2 linked regions of the Xenopus tropicalis genome follow. The protein of the gene in region 1 interacts with the protein of each later gene in a pairwise test. Links are inferred from orthologs where the notes say so. Each region holds a gene or a part of one and is shown on either strand. Other genes may lie near its edges.

Region 1 (3,659 bases):
TGACTATCCAGTCTAAACAGTCAGATTCCCACAGACATTCAAGGACTTTGGCTCCCACTATCATAGAACATTCAGTACAAGCGCCTGTTACTGGCAACACTGGGCTGCAGAGATGAACTGAGGTTAACATGGCCGAGAGTCTGGGGGGCTTTGATGGTGGGTTGTGCCCAGATTCCCTGGAAAGCAGAGGGTTAATATTTTATATAGCATAGTGTGCAGTACACAAATAGAGATACAGAGAAATAATGAGAATAAATACAGAGAAGTACTAGGAGTTTCTATAACAGGTAGGAATGGGGGCCCTGTCCCAAAGAGCTTGCAATCTATGAACAGCCCATGTCTTCTGGGGTGGGTTTCCACTAAATGCTGAAACATTGTTGGTGGATTTGCTTCCATTCAGATGTAAGAGGTTGGACCCTGGTGTTGAGGATCAGGCCTGGGGCTCAGAAGGGGGTTCTGATTCATCCCAGAGGGGGTTCTGATTCATCCCACGGGGGGTTCTGATTCTTCCCACGGGGGGTTCTGATTCATCCCAGAGGGGGTTCTGATTCATCCCACGGGGGGTTCTGATTCTTCCCACGGGGGGTTCTGATTCATCCCAGAGGGGGTTCTGATTCATCCCACGGGGGGTTCTGATTCTTCCCACGGGGGGTTCTGATTCATCCCACTGGGGGTTCTGATTCATCCCACGGGGGGTTCTGATTCATCCCACGGGGGGTTCTGATTCATCCCACGGGGGGTTCTGATTCATCCCACGGGGGGTTCTGATTCATCCCACGGGGGGTTCTGATTCATCCCACTGGGGGTTCTGATTCATCCCACTGGGGGTTCTGATTCATCCCACGGGGGGTTCTGATTCATCCCACGGGGGGTTCTGATTCTTCCCACGGGGGGTTCTGATTCATCCCACGGGGGGTTCTGATTCATCCCACTGGGGGTTCTGATTCATCCCACTGGGGGTTCTGATTCATCCCACGGGGGGTTCTGATTCATCCCACTGGGGGTTCTGATTCATCCCACTGGGGGTTCTGATTCATCCCACGGGGGGTTCTGATTCATCCCACGGGGGGTTCTGATTCATCCCACGGGGGGTTCTGATTCATCCCACGGGGGGTTCTGATTCATCCCACGGGGGGTTCTGATTCATCCCACTGGGGGTTCTGATTCATCCCACTGGGGGTTCTGATTCATCCCACGGGGGTTCTGATTCATCCCACGGGGGGTTCTGATTCATCCCACGGGGGGTTCTGATTCATCCCACGGGGGGTTCTGATTCATCCCACGGGGGGTTCTGATTCATCCCACGGGGGGTTCTGATTCATCCCACGGGGGGTTCTGATTCATCCCACGGGGGGTTCTGATTCATCCCACGGGGGGTTCTGATTCATCCCACGGGGGGTTCTGATTCATCCCACGGGGGGTTCTGATTCATCCCACGGGGGGTTCTGATTCATCCCACTGGGGGTTCTGATTCATCCCACTGGGGGTTCTGATTCATCCCACGGGGGGTTCTGATTCATTCCACTGGGGGTTCTGATTCATCCCACTGGGGGTTCCGTTGGGTTGAGGAACAGGCCAATAATAGTTCTTCCACTCCCATCTCGCCAAACCCATTCTGTTTGGACCTGGCTCTGTACATGGCGGCTCTGTACATGTGCTGATTCAGGGAAAGCCCCCCCCCCAAACTACAAAGTAGGAAACACAGAATGTCAGAGTATAACTGTATGGGTAACTGTGCAATTGTTAGTAAACTACATTTCCCATCAGCCCATCCTGAATGTTGGAAGATTTATAGGGTTAATCTACTCATCCTATAAAAAACCCAGTTTTAATCCCTGTCTATATAAAAATGGGACTGAACGTGCATGTATTATATATCTACCCATAATATATAAACCCCCATATGTAATAAAAGGCACCATGTTTGCCCAGGAGCAGTAATCCATAGCAACCAATAAGATGTTTGCTTTTAAACAGATGTAAATGCTACCTGCTGATTGGTTGCTATGGGTTACTGAGCAAACTTAATACCTTTTATTACATAAACCTGAAAGTCTAATATATAATATAGCAGTCCCTCGGCAATATAATTGCACTCATACCTGCAGTCCCTGCCCATTACTTCATGATTGTCCCACTGGCAGAACCATTGCGGGTCATTGTAAAGATCCAATAATGAAGCCTTATTCTCTGTACTACCTGTATAATTGCGCTAATATTCTTATTTTTCTCTCCCAGCGGAACGGGTGAAGCAGGAAAATCTGAATATCGTGTGTGTCCCGACGTCTTTCCAGGCAAGAATCGCATTCTTATTTCAGTTGTGGTATAAACCAGGCTCTTTTCTCTTCTGATGTTGTGGGTCAGACTTACAGGTCCAGTAATACCAGTAAATGAACTGGTTCTCTATGACTGGATATGTACTGTAACCCCACACTGTGTGATATGGGCTGCTTGCTTCAGGCACTGCTACTGTAAATAACAGTACCTGTACTTGATCCCAACTAAGATATAATTACCCCTTATTGGGGCAGAACAGTCCTATTGGGTTTATTTAATGGTTAAATGATTCCCTTTTCTCTGTAATAATAAAACAGTACCTGTACTTGATCCCAACTAAGATATAATTACCCCTTATTGGGGCAGAACAGTCCTATTGGGTTTATTTCATGGTTAAATGATTCCCTTTTCTCTGTAATAATAAAACAGTACCTATACTTGATCCCAACTAAGATATAATTACCCCTTATTGGGGCAGAACAGCCCTATTGGGTTTATTTAATGGTTAAATGATTCCCTTTTCTCTGTAATAATAAAACAGTACCTGTACTTGATCCCAACTAAGATATAATTACCCCTTATTGGGGGCAGAACAGCCCTATTGGGTTTATTTAATGGTTAAATGATTCCCTTTTCTCTGTAATAATAAAACAGTACCTGTACTTGATCCCAACTAAGATATAATTACCCCTTATTGGGGCAGAACAGCCCTATTGGGTTTATTTCATGGTTAAATGATTCCCTTTTCTCTGTAATAATAAAACAGTACCTATACTTGATCCCAACTAAGATATAATTACCCCTTATTGGGGCAGAACAGCCCTATTGGGTTTATTTAATGGTTAAATGATTCCCTTTTCTCTGTAATAATAAAACAGTACCTGTACTTGATCCCAACTAAGATATAATTACCCCTTATTGGGGCAGAACAGCCCTATTGGGTTTATTTCATGGTTAAATGATTCCCTTTTCTCTGTAATAATAAAACAGTACCTATACTTGATCCCAACTAAGATATAATTACCCCTTATTGGGGCAGAACAGCCCTATTGGGTTTATTTAATGGTTAAATGATTCCCTTTTCTCTGTAATAATAAAACAGTACCTGTACTTGATCCCAACTAAGATATAATTACCCCTTATTGGGGCAGAACAGCCCTATTGGGTTTATTTCATGGTTAAATGATTCCCTTTTCTCTGTAATAATAGTTTGAGCAATAGGATTCCATTATATCTGTGTCTCCCACAGGCCCGGCAGCTGATCCTGCAGAACGGATTAGTTCTGAGCGACTTGGACAGACACCCTGAGGTACGTTACTGCCCCCTATACCCACCTACATGTGCCTTTATTATAAAGAAAACTAAAACACTTGGGCTACAAA
Region 2 (3,659 bases), on another chromosome or scaffold:
ATCGGAATACTAATTAGCATATGCTAATTAGGAGCTGGAAAGGTTATTCCCCCCTACTATTTAACCCTTTTGAATGCTCATTAGCATATGCTAATTAGGATTCGGATTCATTTTGGCAGGGACCGTGGATTCGACGGAAACCGAATCGTTAAAAAAAAAAAAAGACTGGATTCGGCCCGAATCCCAAACTGAATTTGGGATTTGGTGCATCCCTAAAAAAGTGCTTTATAGTTTTGGGCCATTATAGTAATATTATAAAATAATGTGGTTTTTTTTTCCAGGTTATCAAGCAACCATTAGTGCACCACATATGGTAAGATTTATGTAAGATGTAAATCTGTGTACTTATAATGTAATAAATATACCTTTTTAAGAAACAATAAACAGTTAATTTATAATTTCCTGCAAAGTTATGAAACATTTATAAAACCTAAATATAGAACCTTTATTCTGATTATTAAGACCTTTACCTTATGGTCTTATTTTCAGATATGGTGGCCATCATGCAGTTGCATAGACATAACAATTGTACCATTTCAGTAACATCTAGACATATGTTTATTATTGTAACTGAACTGGACCTATCAAAGTCTATTGCTCATTAACGTAGTTTATTAAACTCCAAATCTGCACCTAAAATTGAGAGCCAGTGGTTTTATTTTGACCTACTAAGGACAGTCTTCTACAGCTTGTAGGTACTTTTTTCAAACATTTTTTTTATTTTACCACATTCTATGTAGTGTTACGTTCTTTTAATTTTATATGGTAACTTGTATCATGTAGCTGTCATTTATTGCTATTAACATGTTACCTTAACTGACTCAATTACATGAATAATAATTTCCTCTTTGTCTTATATGAAGCTTTTTATTGGACAGCTTTGTTTAGTAAATCCATATTTAATCTATAGCACATTAGATAACTTTTTTTTTACCAGGAAGCTATTTAATGAAGAGTTCAACGTATAATTTGGAACACTCAAGCATGCTGTGTTAAATAAGAAAAAAGGTTTAGGACTTCTCTACCTGAGAATTAGCCCATGAGCCAGCAGCTATCTGCACGTCTTTTAAGGGTCCAGGCGGTGTATGACACAAGAGGTATACCTACCATTTGGGATTCTGGCTAGATAAAGTACTGGTTGGGTTTGAACATAAGTCCTGTCCCAGATGAAGGCATTCACATCTCCCTGCCATCTGTTTGCCCAGTTGGTGTTACCAGTGATTTATATATCCCCTGTATAAGCCCAAACACTATAAAAAAAAAAAAAAAAAAAGACAAGCAGTGAGTTGCTAATAAAGTGACAAACACTTGTGTGTCAGAGCACTTAAAAGCACCTATTACACCTGTAATGTTGCCCGGACTCTGGTTGGGGAAAACAATAGTTTTTAAAAAGAAATATTCCCTCAGCCAGTGCTGGGCTACCCACACTGGGTGGAAGCTCCCAGTTCGGGCAGCCATCTTGGTTGGCGCGCATGTGCATAATAAGCAACTCTCTTATTATGAACATGCGCCTGAAGTAGGAGTGATGAATTCGTCACCTTCCCATGTCACACACATGAGCATAATGAGCGAGTTGCGGCACTCGGTCATTATTTGCATGCTTGTGCACCAACATGGCTGCCTGCACCGGGGTGTGTCTCCCGGTGCAGGTAGCCCAGCGCTGGCAGGGTCAGTTTTTTTTTTGTTTTTTTTTTTAAAAACAAACTTGTTTTCCCTATCTGGAGTGTGGAAAACATTAAAGGGGTGATAGGTGCCCTTTAAGAATACTGCATCCTGTTGCTTTCATTTTAAAAGTACCATTGTATTGTCTTATTTTTGTTGCTATATTCGTGCACAAATGCTTATTTCTCTGTTATAAATTACTGGTATTATTACTTTATCTCTTATAGTATTCACAGATGATTATTTCCCTCTAATGCCTTTTTGGGTGTACAGTATAAGTAAGCACAGTGGGTTTACAATCTTTTATGTTTCCTTTAGCATGCATATGCACTAGAACTTCTTCATGATCAGTTACATGAAGGTGCCAAAGCTCTTGATGTAGGATCTGGAAGTGGAATTCTTACTGCATGTTTTTCTAGAATGGTAAGACCTTTTAAAGTAAAAAGTACTTAAGTCTTTTGATGGTTGTGGTTCATTGGTTCACTGCTGGGTTGTTGTTTTAATATTTACAATTATCATACAGTTTAAAAACATGACTCATGTAGTGTGAGTTGTATTTGAACAACAGGTGTTACGTAAACCAGGGTTTAGTTACATTCAAATTAACTTTTAGTAAGTTATAGAATGGACAATTCTTAGCAACTTTCTAATTGTTTTTCATATTTTATAGTACCATAGTAAGTTAGGTTGAAAAAAGACATACATCCATCAAGTTCAACCTTATTGCCTATATATAACCTACCTAACTGCTAGTTGATCCAGAGGAAGGCAAAAACCCCATCTGAAGCCTCTCTAATTTTCCGCATAGGGGAAAAACTTCCTTTTTGACTCCAAGATTGAAATCGGACCAGTCCCTGGATCAACTTGTACTAAGAGCTACCTCCCATAACCCTGTATTCCCTCACTTGCTAAAAAGCCATCCAGCCTCTTCTTAAAGCTATATAATGTATCAGCCAGTACGGCTGATTCGGGGAGGGAATTCCACAACTTCACAGCTCTCACAGTAAAAAAAAAAACCTTTCTGAATATTTAAATGGAACCTCCCTTCTTCAAAACGGAGTGGGTGCCCTTGTGTCGGTTGGAAGGACCTACTGGTAAATAAAGCATTAGAGAGGTTATTATACAGTATGATCCCCTTATATATTTCTACATAGTTATTATGTCACCTCTTCTCCAGTGTAAACAAACCGAGCTTGGCCAGTCTTTCTTCATAACTGATACATTCCATACCCTTCACCAGCTTAGTTGACTCTCTCTAATTCAATAATGTCCCGTTTGAGCACTGGAGACCACAACCGAACAGCATATTCTAGATGGGGCCTTACCAGCGCTCTGTAAAGGGGAAGAATAACACACTCCTCCCATGAATCTATGCCCCTTTTAATACAGATCAAAAATCAGTGTCTGTTGACCCTACAAGTTTCCAATTTCACTGCAAGTACTTTATGTAAATAGATAGGAAACCAAGAAGGATTAGCAACTATACATACACACAATGTACATTCCTATTTCCAAAAAATTTGGGGCACTGTGTAAAAAAAATAAATAAATACAGAATGCACTGATTTGCAAATCATGTATACCCTATTTTAAATTAAAAATAGAACAAAGACAACATATCAAATGTTGAAACTATATATGCTCATTTGAACATGCTTTAAAAAAGTTGGGACAGGGACAACAAAAGTCTGAAAAAGTTGTTTACTGCTTAAAAGAGCTTCCCAGAGGCTGGGTCTCTCAGAAGCAAAGGAGTCGGGTACACCATTCAGTGAAACACTGCCTCACATTTCCTCAACATAAAAATACAAATTTGGGGATTTCATTATCTACAGTACATAGTATTCAAAGATTCAGAGATTTCAGAGAAATTTCTTTATGCAGGGGACAAGGCAGAAAGCTAAAACTGGATGTCCATGATCTTCTGGCTTGTTAGATGGCACTGCATTAAAAACACTGGAAATCAGTGCATGCTACTTACTGTATCCACCAAGTTAAAA

Evidence for each region. The genes of interacting proteins can lie anywhere in the genome.
Region 2: the proteins of rpia (region 1) and pcmt1 interact in binary tests that used the Homo sapiens proteins (3 or more experiments, as listed by UniProt). The two-hybrid records come from large-scale screens. The link is inferred for Xenopus tropicalis from reciprocal best matches to the Homo sapiens genes RPIA and PCMT1.

The regions. Positions count from the first base shown.
Region 1 is NC_030677.2:9,418,644-9,422,302, forward strand, and holds part of rpia (ribose-5-phosphate isomerase), read left to right. Parts: intron 1-2,238; coding exon 2,239-2,294; intron 2,295-3,526; coding exon 3,527-3,586; intron 3,587-3,659. UniProt on the Homo sapiens protein: Catalyzes the reversible conversion of ribose-5-phosphate to ribulose 5-phosphate and participates in the first step of the non-oxidative branch of the pentose phosphate pathway.
Region 2 is NC_030681.2:64,029,887-64,033,545, forward strand, and holds part of pcmt1 (protein-L-isoaspartate(D-aspartate) O-methyltransferase), read left to right. Parts: intron 1-281; coding exon 282-313; intron 314-1,980; coding exon 1,981-2,085; intron 2,086-3,659. UniProt on the Homo sapiens protein: Initiates the repair of damaged proteins by catalyzing methyl esterification of L-isoaspartyl and D-aspartyl residues produced by spontaneous isomerization and racemization of L-aspartyl and L-asparaginyl residues in aging peptides and proteins.